Elephas maximus indicus: one gene and its partner. Each later gene encodes a partner of the first gene's protein in a complex. Links are inferred from orthologs where the notes say so. Each region holds a gene or a part of one and is shown in the gene's direction. Other genes may lie near its edges.

Region 1 (7,380 bases):
GTAAAGATTACAGCCAAGAAACTCCTATGACTCTGTCACACAGAATCGCTATCAGTTGAAATGGACTCAATGGCACCCAACAACAACAACGAGGGGCCTTCAGAGTCAGCCTCCTCAGAAGGAAAAGTCTAAGGGGAGTTCTGAAGGTGGAGGAGGAGTCAGCAGGCAAAGAAGTTGGGAGGGCCTGAGAGGCAGGGACAGGCATTGAGAGCAGAGTGAAGAGCGTGGGTGAAGTCCAGGAGGTATGAAAAACAGAAGGTGTTCAGGGAATTACAAGGTATACAGTTTGGGTAAAGCATCAAGCCAAGGGGTGAGGCCGGCAGGACCTGGAACCTGTAGGGTCCTGTGGGCCATGAGAGAGGTCCTGAACTTGAACCTGAGTGCATTACAAACTGGCTGCTGGGCAGGAATGGAAGCTGGAAGATCAGGCGAAGAGCCAAGGGCTCATGGTGGAACAGAGGAGGTGGGGTGGAAAGGCCTGGGTGCCCCATGAGAGTTGTGGCCCCTTGTGCCTTTCACTGGCCCTTCTTGGCCCAGGTTCTTCCGGCAGAGGTTCAAGTCAGAAGATACCCCCAAGATCCATGTGGCCCTGAGTGTCAGCCTGTTCCTCCTGAATTTAGCTTTCCTCATCACTGTGGTGAATGGCTCGCAGGGCTCCAATGCTGCCTGCTGGGCTAGGGGAGCTGTCTTCCACTACTTTCTGCTCTGTACCTTCACCTGGATGGGCCTGGAAGCCTTCCACCTCTATCTGCTTGTCATCAAGGTCTTCAACACCTACTTCGGGCACTACTTCCTGAAGCTGAGCCTGGTGGGCTGGGGTAGGTGCTATCTGGATTGTCAGAGGAGATGGATGGGGTGGACATTCCCTCCAGCCAGGCCCTGGGGGGCCGGCTAGGGGCATTTCCCTGGGGAGAGAGGAGCTGTCAGACAGGCTCAGGGTTCAAGGAATGGGCAGCTGGAGGGGTTCTGGAGGAGGGCATGCCCAGGGAGGCTGCAATGCCTTAACTCCTCCCCTTGCTCCCAGGCCTCCCTGCCCTGGTGGTCATTGGCACCGGGAGTACCAACAGCTATGGCCGCTACACAATCCAGGACAAGGAAAACCGTACCATGCTGGAGCTGTGAGTGGCGGCTGGGGGAGCAGGGCTGATACCAGGTTCCAGGCTTCACATATCGGAGCCGGAGGGAGGGGGAATGGAGGGAGTCCTAGGACGAGAGATTCAGTGTGATGAGGCCAGAAAAATCTTCAGACCCAGCTAGCTCATGGCATGCAGGGGTAAATTGAGGCCTGGAGAGAGGAAGGAAAATGAGAGAGGGGAGCTGAAAAGGGGGAAAGAGAACTGAGCCAGGAGGCAGAATACTGGGCTCTAGCCTGGGCTGCCACTAGCCCATACAGCGCCTTTGGGCAAATTGAAAAATGTGCCCCACCAGACGCTTAACCTGGTAAGTGGAGGACATGCTGGATTTCAGCTCCCAACTGCCCCCTCCACCCATTGTACAGTGCACAACCTGCCCAACCACTTGTAGCAGCCCTGGTCCTAGTCCAGGCTGTACTCTTGACGTATTGTGTGACCTTGGCCAAGCCCCTCAGGGCAAGCTTCAGTTTCCTCATCTGTACCATGGGGATGATCAACATGCTCTTTTAGAGCCTTTTGTCCTTGCAGTACAAAGTGGAGCTGAGCTGAGCCTTCAGACTCCTGCCCTGGCATTCTCATGGTGCCCACCCCTGAGCCCACAGCCAGCACAGAGCTGGAAAGGGCCAGCAGGGCCTTGGGCCTGGCCCCAGAGTATCACATCAGGGGCCAAAGGGGCTGGATGGGAACTGTGGTGGAATGGCAACCATGTACCTACTCACTGAGTCTTCAGGAGGCCGTTTGGAGCTGCCAGATGTAGGGTTTTACAAGAGAAGCTGACATCTGGATATTTATGCCAAACCTGTTTTTTAGAGGATAGCTATTAATTCAATTTTTTTTTTTTTTTACAATATATGTGGAGCATATGAAACATGCCTTTGGGGCCAAATTGGCCCTTTTGCACACACGGTCTAAAGAGGCCCTTGAGCACCTGCCCCAGGAGGAAAGCGGGGTAGGTGGGTGGAGATAGGGGAAGACATTTTGGTCTTCAAAGGTCAGTCAGGGGAGACTTCCTGGGGGCTTGCTGGGCAACGCTCTCCTCTCCTTGTCCCAACGGCCATCCTCTTCCTCCAGGTGCTGGTTTCGTGAGACGACTGCCCTGTATGTCACCGTCCATGGCTACTTTCTTATCACTTTCCTCTTTAGTGCCATGGTCCTCGGCCTGGTGGCCTGGAAGATCTTCACTCTGTCAAGTATCACAGCGGGCAAGGAACAGGGGCTGAACTGGAAGGGGGTTCTCACTGTGCTGGGCCTCTCTAGCCTGATGGGCATGACGTGGGGGCTGGCTATCCTCACACCCCTGGGCCTGTTCACCATTTATATCTTCGCAGTGCTCAACTCCCTGCAAGGTGAGGCACCTGTACACACACACACACACACACACACGAATGCACGCGCGCGCGCACATACACACACAGGAGCTTTCTGTGCTGGATTCTAGTGTAATTCCTTAGCACTATCTTCCAAATCCCTGCTGTCTCTCAGTTTATCCCATCTAGTTATCTTGGAGCCCTGGTGGAGCAGTGGTTAAGAGCTCAGCTGCTAACCAAAAGGTCAGCAGTTCAAATCTACCAGCGACTCCTTCGAAACCCTATGGGGCAGTTCTACTCTGTCCTATAGTGTCCCTATGAGTTGGCATCAACTCGACAGCAACAGGTTTTTTTGTTTTTAGAGTTATCTTGACTGTTAAGCTTTTTTTTTTTATTTCAGAGATCCTATATTTTTACTCTTTTTTTTATTGTGATTTAAGTGAAAGTTCACAATTCAAATCAGTTTCTCGTACAAAAACTTATACACACATCGTTATGTGACCCTAGTCACTCTCCCTACAATGTGACAGCACACTTCTTCACTCCAGCCTGTATTCCCCGTTTCTACTCAACCAGCTCCTGTCCCCTTCTGCCTTCTCATCTTGCCTCTGGACAGGAGCTGCCCATTTAGTCTCATGTGTCTACTTGAGCTAAGAAGCACACCCCTCACCAGTATCATTTCATGTCTTGTAGTCCAGCCTAATTTTTGTCTGAAGAGGTGGCTTCGGGAATGGTTTTAATTCTGGGCTAACAGAGAGTCTGGGGGCCATGTCTTCTGGGGTCCCTCCAGTCTCAGTCAGACCATCGAGTCTGGTCTTTTTACTAGAATTTGAGGTCTGTATTCCACTTTTCTCCTGTTCCATCAGGGACTCTCCGTCGTGTTCCCTGTCAGGGAGGTCCTTGGTGGTAGCCGAGCACCATCTAGTTCTGGTCAGAGACCCTATTTTTAATTTCCAAAATTTCTATTTGGTTCTTTTCTAGAAATAGGTTTCATTTTTCCCTGATTTTTTCCCTAATGTCTTTTAAGCAGTTTTTAAATAGCCCCCCTCCCTGCATGTCCCCACCCACAAGCTCACTGCTACCCCTTTTCACCCCCAGGCATCTTCATCTTTGGCTGGTTCGCTGTCCTCTACTTCCCTAGTCAGAGTGCCTCCTCATCTGCAACTACCCAAGCCGACCAGACCCACTCGGTGTCTCATGGATAAAGAGGCTGCCAAGTGGCTAGGCTGGGAGCTGAGCCCTGAGCTCTGGACTCAACTCTGACTTACTGGGTAACCTTGGGTCAGTCCCTGCTTCTCTCTGGGCCACAGTCTCCTTCTCTGCACACTGTGGCTGAGGAGGGGAGATGGAGACCAGGTTGGACCACGTGGCCTCAAAGGTCCCATCCAGACGCATCTGTGGTTCTGAGAGTTCATGAATCCAGGAATGCAGAAGGTTAACGCGCTCATAATCCTGGGCCCCCTCCCAGCATACAGTGATGCCTCCCCTCCCTCTCCTGCTCACCTTGGTAGCAAAGCAGCCATTCTTTGCCCTTACCCACCCTCTGGTCTCAGGAACAGCCTAAGCTTAAATAGGAGAGTCTCTTGTAGGCACAGACCCTTGAAGGAGCCCCAGCCTCTCCCCTTACCCCTGTCACTTCCCTCTCAGACTCCAACTTCTGGCTGCTTGTACCTGTGAGGGGAGGTTTCCAGGAGGTCATTGTCCCCTCAGGCATTGGAGGAGTTGTTGGCTGAACTTTTTAGGTGGGGGGTTGATCCTCCTACCCAGCACAGCCCTGGTTTCTGCAGTCCCACCTGGGTCCATCCTCCCTGAAGAGCCTCTACCATTCAGGGGCTGCCAGCCTTCAAGATGTCTGGGGACATGGCTTCAGAGAACGTCACAGACTCAGTGGGTATGACACCTCAAGCAAGTCTGAGTCTCCACTCTGACTGCCAGGCGGGCAGCTGGACCTCGGATCTGCAGTCTTTTGGGAGTGGCCAGACTGTCACATGCATACTGCACACCTGAGGGGTGAGCATTTTTGCTCCTGTCTGTTCAGTGTGTGGGTCAGGGGGCTGAGGGTGGGGGAGCAGGCTTGGCATTTCCACCAGAATTGGAACTCCAGTGGAGCAGGAACCATGACTGCCTCCTCACTGTTTCCGCCCAGCCTGAGCTCAGGGCCTGGTGCAGTTCAGGCCCAGAATAAATATTTGTCAGTTGAACGAATCCATGTGCAGGTTTGGCTCCAACCTGACAGGGCCCTGAGCCAGGAAGTGTTTCTCAGGCCAGATCAATTTGGGTTTGTTGTTTTTCCTCGTGGCTGTCCCTCCATGTCTCCATTGCATTTTGGTTTCTCTGGTAGGAAACAAAAAGAGATAGAGATCGTAGAGGTAGAGGTAGAGAGAGAGAGAGAGATAGAAAGAGAGAGAGATAGAAAGAGAGAGAGAGAGAATTAGCAGACAGGCTAACACTGAGAGAGAACAGAGACAGAGAGAGGAGGCAGCCCCCTGGCCTGCCCCAATCCGAGGGTGGCGAGCATTGATGTCAATTCCCTCCTCAGGTCCCACCTCACAAGTTCCCGACCCCATTAGCCTTAACTCTAGCCTTAACTTACTAAGTGCCGTGGGAAATCTCACCCTCCCACACAACCTCTAACTTTTCCAATGTGCTTTGGACACTGCCAAGTGCCTTACACAGGAGAGAAGTTATTATTACTAGACCCTCCCTCACAGCCCCAAAGCTGTGTGAGCTACCAGCTGCCTCCCCCTCCCAGGTGCTGGTGCTGATGTCTGACAGGAATGGAGGTGGTGCTCCCAGAAGCCCTTGCTTCCCCCTCCTCCCACCCTGCAAACAGACAGGAAGGCTTTATGCAATTCACTGTGTTCCTGGAAGGGAAATCCTGAGGTGTGCACACTGCATCTGTTGAGCCTCATTATCAGTTTTTGTGGACAAACTTGCTAGGTTTCAGACTTATCTTCATAGACATCTGTTTTTCAAGGGGAGGGCTAGGTGCCCTGACATCAAAGTCTCAGAGTTAGCAACCTGTGCTCAAAAGGAACAGCTGTTCCAGGGTCAGACAGGCCTGAGTTCAAATCTTGGTTCTGCTACTTAGGGTTTGTTACCCTGAGAATGTCACCTCACCTCCCCAAGCCTCAGTTTTCCCCTCTGTAAAATGGGGATCATAGAACGTCCTCATCTTGTCCAGAGAGCATTGAGACGACAACAGTAAAGTGCCTGACAGTAGGAGTAGGCTGACTCTCCAAGGCCTCCTTGGTTAAAGAAAAACCAAGCAGAACCTTCATGAAAAGCAAATCATGACCCTCCGCAGCCTAGATGTAAAATAAGAGCGTGAGGTTAAAGGTCCCTTCCAGATTTCCTCTATAACTCTGCCAACAGACCAGCTCTGCACTGGGACAAGGAACTGGAGCCCCAGAGAGGCCCAGCAACCTGCCCAGAGCCACTCGGCAAGTTGGGCTGAAGCTAGGGCTAGGTGCCCTAGGGAGCCCTGATGGTGCAATGGTTAAGCACTCAGCTGCTAACCAAAAGGTGAGTGGTTCAAACTTACCAGCCACTCTACAGGAGAAAAGACCTGGCAGTTTGCTTCCGTAAAGATTACAGCCTTGGAAACCCTATAAGGTAGTTCCTCTCTGCCCTACAGGGTCACTATGAGTCAGAATCAACACGATGGCACACAACAACAACAACAGGCGCTTCCCGAGCTGCTGACACCTCCTCCCAGGGCATTCCCTGGATTCAAGAATTATCGTCTTGTCCCTGACCTCCTAGTCTCAAGGGAAACCCTGGCCTGTGGCTTTCTCAGACATGCTCACCAGTATGTGGGGCTAACCAAATCGCAGGCCGGAATGGGCTCATTTCCTGGTACAGATGGGGAGATGTAGCCAACTTTGGGGTGTGCTCCTGTTCTAGCTGGTTCTCCACCCTAGGTCCAGGCAGGGGCTGAGGGGCTAGGGTCCCTTATCACCTGGGGTCTCTACAAACTGTGGCTCTGAGGGTCAAGCTGGACACTGTGCTGAGGCCAAGAGGAGTTGTGGCAAAAACATATCCCAAGGCCTAGAGTAGATGGACAGGGTTCCCAACCATTGAAGGGTAACAAACACAGCCCAGGAGGTGGGATGGCACTGAGGGTGAGAGTGCAGACCCTGAGGTCTGCCTGCCTGGTCCAAATTCTGCTTCTGCAACTTGCCTGGGGCAAATTCCTCACCTTCCTCAGCCTGTAAAGTAGGAGTACCTGGATGGTGCAAATGGTTAACTAGCAGCTGCTAGCCAAAAGATTGGAAGTTCAAGTCCAACCAGAGGTGCCTCAAAAGAAAGGCCTGGCAGTCTAATTCTGAAAAACCAGCCACTGAAAACCCTATAGTCTGACACACACAGGGTCACCGTGATTTAGAACCAACTTGATGGCAATAGTTTTTTGTTTTAAAGTAGGGATAACAGTAGCTGCCCAAAGGGTTGATGAAGGATTAAATTAGAGACCAGTGGGCATGTGTGTGGCTAAGCCAGGCTTTGTCCTGATCATCACCTTATAAGGTCTTAGGGTCCCGTGGTGCTCCAGGTGCCACAGGGAGTGTCCTCTTCACCTCGGCACCCTGCCTGTTCTCTCTGTTCTGCCCAAGTTTCTTCATTTCTAGTATTTTTTCATTATAATATAAAATATACAAGGAAATAAGATGTATTTACTCTGTGCTCTCAGATAGACAACTTAATATTAAAATATAAACCCCCCTCACAGAGAATTTATTAATTCAATGAAATTACAATAAAGATTCCAGTTGATTTTATTTTATAGACTCTCAAAAAATTTATTCTGTGGTTTATATGGAGGCATGTAGTCCTCAAAGAGCTAAGTCAACCTTAATGAAAGAAGGGCTTAGAAGGAAGACTTGCCTCCAGATATGAAGACATTACAAGGCCACGGTGGCAATCTGTGCAGGAATAGGCAA
Region 2 (7,246 bases), on another chromosome or scaffold:
CAAAACCCAAGGATATCTCATCTCAGCCTATCTGAAACAACTGCCAAAACCTTTCAATATTATCTCCATATCCCTCCCAATTCCCAAAAGTCACAATTTCACCAAGCAGCCTACAGTAAACAGGCGCTTACTACAAGTGCTTTTAAGAGGTCATGAAAATAAATTTAAGCTTCATTAACTGACTCAACCTAATGAACTGAACAGTTACCAGTACATATAGTAAACCAGGGAGCCCCTGGGGAGTGGAAGAAAGGCCTGGCGGTTAAGTCTACTTCCAAGAAGATCAGCCACCGAAAATTCTATGGAACACAATCCTACTCTGACATACACAGGGTCCCATGGATCGGAATCCACTTGACTACAACTGCCACTCCAAACCTCCACCCCCAAGTTTATGTGCTTCCTGGAATACAGTGTTTTTCCATTCTTCAAAAAGTTATTCAAAGGCTGAGTTCAGATGCTCCATCACCGTAAAAAACTTTCAAGGTACTCTTTTCCACTATCCAACCAAAGCCTCCATATCTCCCATCTGTGTCAGGCTTTGTATTCAGGTACTCCCACCCTATCCTCTTCTCATTAAGACCCCCCAGAGGAGTTGTCTTCTAAGTTTCTGTAATTCCACTGACATATAGCACTACAATTTCCCTGTGAAATTAGTCGACTCCAATAGTCCTTTATTTCAATGTCCATTTTAAGCATATAGCAATTTAATTTAGAGGAAAGCGTTTAAACCATTTAACAAAAATATAAGAGAACAAGTAACAAAGCCACCATTTTATTTATTTACTTCTTAGTAAGTTTAAATCCTTGAGGGGTACAGCATCTGGGGGGAAAAGAACACAAGAGCATTAGGTGACTACATGTAAATTCACAAATGTTATAAAAAAACTAGTACCACAATGTGGACAAATCCCTTCCCATTTTCTCATAACTTACTTGGCCCAGAGTCTTGGGCCTAGGAAAAATACCAACTTTCTTCATCTATTAAATAAGGCTATTCTTCTAATAACACTGATATTGAGGATGAAGGGATGGGAAAATATTAAGAATTATCCCAGAAAAAAGATGTGAATTTATTTTCTAACACCTACTTCAGTGGCCAATAAACATCTTTGAGGAAAATTATTAAATGCTATTTTTTCCCCAGGCAGCTTTACTAAACTCTGCAATCTAAGCACAATCCATTTGAACACTCTGCCTTCACCTTTTTTGGTTTAACAGTCAGATGTTCTGTAATAGTTACCACTTAAACTGTGGCCACTAGTTTGGCAGCCTAATCTACAGGTAACACAGTACTAAGCAGGATCACAGTACCAGAATGGACCTTAGAGATCAAATCCCAACCCCTTGAACACAGTTTGACTACATAGAGGGCTAGTTTGGTAATAATTTTACTTACCACACGGATCCTGTGTCCAATGGCCTTAGCAGGAAGGTTGCTTCGGAATTTGGCACGAACCATGCCACTGTTTCCATGGGCCCGAGTTACCTTTCCCCAGATTACTCTGGTTTTGTTAGGTTTGCCGCCAGGAGTCACTGTGTTGCTGATTTAAAGAGAAGTGGAAAGTGCACGAGAACTCAGAATACCAGTAAAGTTTACACGTTTATCGGCTACACACTGTTCCCTCTTTGGTGGCGCAGTGGTTAAGAGTTCAACTGGTAACCGAAATACCAACAGTTTGAATTCACCAGGTACTCCTTGAAACGCTGTGGAGCAGTTCTACTCCTCCATCCTATTAGGGTCGTTATCAGTCGGAATCAACTCGACAGCAAAGAGTTTGGTTTTGTTTTTTTACTGTACACCAGGGGCTTTTGTAAAGGCAAGGCATGCTACAGTTTACAAAAGCCCTTTTTACAGGCTTAACACAATAATAAACAAGTAAAATATGTGGAACATGAGATGATAATAGCTGCAATATAGGAGAAAAAAAAAACAAAGGGGGCTAACAACTGGATGTTTCCATGTAGTGAGAGGGAAGAACTGCTTCCAATTTCAAGTAGTCACAGAAGGTTTCACTGAGGTGACGATGGAATAAAGGACCTGGTGAGGGAACAAGCCATACACGTATCTGGTAAAGACCATTCCAGAGGCAACCAAACCCCCAAAATAAAAAAAACCTGTTGCTGTTGAGTCAATTCTGATTCACAGTGACAGGTTAAAAATCTGAGAAGAGAGTTTGCTTGATTTGCCGGAAAACAGAAAAGAGATTGGAGGGAGAGGAGTTGAATCCTACCTAGGATCAGAAAGGAAATACGGGGCCTGATTGCAAAGGGTCTTAGACACCCCTTAAGGACTCTGGCTTTTGCTGAATGAGATGAGTCTGAGCAATGTACATGTGATCTGTCTGATAATTTTAAAGGATCACTCTAGCTGTGGCAGTGGACCAGGATGAAGTATGTCCCCAGAGATCTTAACTGGCCTGAGGTGGATTAAGAATCCAGGATTAAGAACCACTGCTCTGGACATGTAACATCTTTCAACATGTATAAAACATATAATTTTAGGAAATCAACTAAATGAATTAAGGTACATGGAAAGCGCTCTATAAACCCATATGAGCATCACACTATCAGGAATTAGCTTCTTCCTTGAAACAAGAACAGCTGTAATTTCTCTACATGGTGAAGTAACTGAAATCCAAGACCATCCACAAAAATAACGTCCTTCTACAACATCCCATGAATTCCTTAAAGACTTCAAAAGAAGCCACAGTAGAATCAATTGTTTTATCAACATCTATGTTTTATTTTTCTTTCAACAGAAAAATGAGGCAGATCTTAATTAAAAATTGAAAAGCACAGCAATATTATAAACTTACTTCTTTGCTTTGTACACATAGGCACATCTCTTGCCTAAATAGAATTCGGTTTCGTCTCGGGCATAAACACCTTCAATTTTCAGAAGAGCTGTGTGCTCCCTCTGGTTCCGGAGACCCCGTTTATAGCCAGCAAAAATGGCCTTGGACCACAACCTAAGATACACAAAATATGTAACATTAACGGTAAACTCTTAAAAGATGTTGTCAAACCTCAACAAACCACCGGTATAATTTGGCCCCCAACCCAAGTTACCTACAGCAAATATCTAATTTTTCTGGTCTTTTTAAACTCACATTTAGGTTCATGTTCAACAAAAGACTACATATACGAAGCAATTATATTTAAAGCTCATACCTTCCAGACATATTTGCCGGTTTCGAAGTCCTGTTCCCAGCAGGCCTTAAACAAAAAAGACTCAGTTCACAACCTGGCAACACAACTTTCCCACCAAGTGCCCCCTCGTTTCTCAAGCACATTAGACAAATTCGTTTTTGATTGACATTTCATATAATAGTAAAAGAAAACATTAATTATGCCATAACATTTACATGAAAGGTCTGTTAAGGCAACCAAGCCTCACAGAAAGCCTCTGATATGTAAGGAAACTCCAAAGTAAAGGGAAAAAATGCAGAGGCCAAAGAAAATCCGAAGTGGCAAAAATATACCCTTCACGAAATAAAAAAAAAAACACACCCACTGCCGTCAAGTCGATTCCGACTCATACAGGACAGAACTGTCCCATAGGATTTCCAAGGCTGTAATCTTTACAGAAACTAATTGCCACATCTTACTCCCGTGCAGGGGCCGGTGGGTTCCAACCGCCAACCTTTTGGTTAGCTCCTATAAAGAAAAAGTAAGGTGGCAAAAATATATACTTGACGAACTCCTAGAAATTTCAACAGGAAGCCCTGGGAAAAATCATGTCATGACCAACAGACAAAAACTCAGGAAAAATAAAGACTTATCGAGGACCGTATCCGAACAGAAAACGGACTTGAACCCAACCTAAAGGACCCACTGCCTTAAATCGGCACCTGTAGCCAAACGAAGTGCACCTATTTCACTCCGCTCTGGCCCGGAATCTACTCCTATTACAGGACCCGTTCCCCGGACGTCAGGGAACCAGCACCATCAACCCCGCATCTCTGCCATCCTGCCCTCCCTCTCGCTGGAATCCTTAAAATCCACTGACTACCAGGGTCCCCAAGCTGCACCGGTGCCTCGCGAAGCATATGGATGAGCCCACCCCAGCTATTTTGCTCCCAAACTTCAGCAGCTGAAGCTTCCCTCACCTCTACAGGCTCCAAGATGGCGGAAAAAGGAAAACCAAGACCCGCCGCGTTGCCTTGTGGGATAAACACCTCTCTTCCCTGCCCCCAAGTAGGCATCTTCCGCGTCCGCCAGAAAAACAAGCGTCAGGAATCGTCTTCGGACTGACGCAGCCTACATCCAAGAGCACTTTTACAATTCTTTGCCAAAGTTCTTTCATCTTTATAGGCTGCAGCATGCGTTATTTGGGAGCAGAGGGAGGCAAAGTGGTAGCCAGCTAATGGGGGAGAAGAAAAGGTCCCCCAAGCTGTGCGTTGCCATAGAAACACCCTAGCTTGGTACCGGCTTCCTAGGGTGCTGTAGGTGGAAAAGTAGAAGCCGGACTGAAGGACTTCTCCCCGCCTTGGACACCGCAGAATTGGTTCGCGAACGTGGGAGCATCTTTCCTTTCCACCACACAGGAGTAAGCGCACGGAGACTCACTTTCGGATCCTACCCTCGCCTGGAAGAGAAAGGCCGGGAGCGCAAAGGCAGGAGAGGTCGTTCCTTTCTTTCCCTGTTTGTAATTCCTCCTGTCTTCTCCCTAGTCCTTTACACCTTTCAAGAAATGACTTAAATTCTTTCCTCCGTCCTTCGCTTTGACCCCGAGGGTAAGGAGGACTGCCCTGAGAAGACCTATCACCTTTTTAGGAAGACCCCTTCAGCTGTCAGACAAACTGAGCGTGCCCTGCACCGTGTACACCCGTAAAAGGCCCTCAGTAGACACTGGTAGACTAGAAAGAGATGGGTTAGTGGACGTCAGAGATTTACATTTCCTAATTATTGAGAGTTTATTTGGATTGCCCTGTGGATTCTTTCATTTATTCAGCAAATATTTCATTGAATGACTGCAATATGCCAAGCATTGTTTTAGACCCTGAAAATACTTTTGTAAACAAACGAAAGCAGAAATCACTGCCTTCATGGAGCTTGCATCCTAGTAGGAGGAGCCAGACAATAAAGCAAGTAAAATATATGGCACATTACCCGTTGAAACCAAACCCGTTGCCGTCGAGTCGATTTCGATGCATAGCGATCCTACGGGACAGAGTAGAGCTGCCCCCATAGGGCTTCCAAGGTGGTGGATTCCAACTGCCAACGTTTCGGTTAGCGGCTGTAACTATAACCACTGCGCCACCAGGGTTTCCATATGACAAATTAGGAGGTGTTAACATATATGGAGGAAAAAAAAAAAAGCAAGGCGGCCAGTGCAAAGGAGGCTTTTACTCTGAGATGGGAAGCCATTTGAGGTTTCCATACAGAAAACAAAATCGGCTGCCATGGAGTCGATTCCCACTCATAGCGACTCTGTAAGACAGAGTAGAACTGTCTCATAGGGTTTCCAAGGCTGTAATGTTTATGGAAGCACACTGCCACATCCTTTTCTGGCAGAGCTGCTGATGGATTCAAACCCCTAACCTTTCAGTGAGGCGCGGAGCTCCTAATCACTGCGGCTTTCCGTACAGAGGAGTGACTATCTGCCTTAAGGGAGGCAAGGGCACCAGCAAGGAGATCAGTTAGGAGGCTGTTGTCATGATCCTTTTGGAAGATGATGGTGTGTAGACAGGGATGGCAGGTATTGGAATTCTGAATGTATTTTAAATGTAAAACCGACAGGCTTTGATGATGGATGAAGAGTGAGAGGGAGAAGAGTAAGGAATGACTCCAAGGTTTTTATAAAGTAGTTGTATAGAGGTCACATATAAAATCAGATTCTCTCTTAAATACATCAGGGTAGGGTTTCTGTACCTCACTCTCCCATCAGATTTTCTCTGTCCAAGAAATTGAATTCCATGAAGTTCCAAAAGTAAGCACTGCTGGGAGGAATAACACATTCAGTGTGAGTTTCATTTATTTGTTCATTCGTTCACTCCACAAACACTTATGTACCGAGCACAGTGCAGACACAGGATACAGTCGTGAGCATTGCTGTCACGTTTCCTGCTTTCGTGGGGTGGGGGAAACGGACATAAACATTACAGATTCTGAGGAGGGTTCTGTGAGCCCTTGAACAGAAGAATCCTGATCCAGCCTGGTGTGTCAGGGGAAGGCTACTTGGGAAAGTGTCGTCTAAGGCATTTTTCAAAATGCAAGTGATACTCCATTAGTCCATTGAAAGCGAAATACTCGTTTAAACAAAATATGATGGAATACAGTGGAGTCTAGACCTTCTGGTGCCACTGAAGCTGAACCAACACCCAAAACTATTGCCCTGAGATAATCTAAACCTCAGACCTCAAACCAATACTTCCCCCTGAAGTCTGCTTTGAATCAAACAAGTTTAGCTTAATTAGTAAAGCATGTCTGCGTTGCGCATTGTGTTCTTTCAAAGATTTATCTCTACGGGATCAAATCGACAACAGCATCTCGAAAGGTTAGCGGGCCTTGAGTTTATGTTAATGGTGGTGGAATAATTTGGAAAAGGAGAGTGAGAACAGTTATACAACTTGAAGATGGTAGACGATATCATTGAATTGTGCATGTAGAATTTGTTGAAATGGTGTAGACTTTGCTGTGTATATTTTCACTAAAATAAAATAAATCTTTAAAAAATGATAGAATAGAAAATATCAGGATGTATCACACATAGGGAAACCCTGGTGCCGTAGTGGTTAAGAGCTATGGCTGCTAACCAAGAAGTCAGCAGTTCAAATCCCACAGGTGCTCCTTGGAAACCCTGTGGAGCAGTTCTACTCTGTCCTATAGAGTCGCTTTGAGTCAGAATGACTCGATGGCAATGGGTTTTATCACACATAGTAACTAAATGGGTGTGTGTGTGTGTACATTCTAGGGAAGCACAGCCATATCTTATCTGCACAAAGCACAGTCTACCTATGCCTCAAGCCTAAAAAATGAAAAAAAGAAAGAAACAACTGCGTAACCACAGAACAAAATTACGCATAACACCCTGCTACCTCTTCCTAGGACTGCCCCTGCTCCAGAAAATTCGGCTCTTTTGGAGCATCTTTTGTCACTTTACACAAAGATTCTGTTTTATATGATTGAAGTTTTATATATAAGATGTTTATCAAGTGAGACATATTTGTACTACCCCCCTCCCTGGGACCACTTTATTGTGGACAAAGTCACACTGAAAACAGCCCTTACTTTTCAGTCT

The links. The genes of interacting proteins can lie anywhere in the genome.
Region 2: DRC7 (region 1) and IQCG share a complex: the UniProt entries of both Homo sapiens proteins name them as parts of the nexin-dynein regulatory complex. The link is inferred for Elephas maximus indicus from reciprocal best matches to the Homo sapiens genes DRC7 and DRC9.

Annotation. Positions count from the first base shown.
Region 1 is NC_064839.1:24,569,667-24,577,046, forward strand, and holds the start of DRC7 (dynein regulatory complex subunit 7), read left to right. Parts: upstream 1-4,376; 5' UTR 4,377-4,450; exon of another isoform or gene 4,451-4,645; intron 4,646-7,380. Other genes in the region: ADGRG3 (adhesion G protein-coupled receptor G3), read left to right, coding at 538-818, 1,025-1,118, 2,205-2,479, 3,539-3,645. UniProt on the Homo sapiens protein: Component of the nexin-dynein regulatory complex (N-DRC) a key regulator of ciliary/flagellar motility which maintains the alignment and integrity of the distal axoneme and regulates microtubule sliding in motile axonemes.
Region 2 is NC_064819.1:17,037,483-17,044,728, forward strand, and holds the start of IQCG (dynein regulatory complex protein 9), read left to right. Parts: upstream 1-4,229; 5' UTR 4,230-4,628; intron 4,629-7,246. Other genes in the region: RPL35A (60S ribosomal protein L35a), read right to left, coding at 800-823, 1,400-1,544, 2,820-2,972, 3,175-3,185. UniProt on the Homo sapiens protein: Component of the nexin-dynein regulatory complex (N-DRC), a key regulator of ciliary/flagellar motility which maintains the alignment and integrity of the distal axoneme and regulates microtubule sliding in motile axonemes.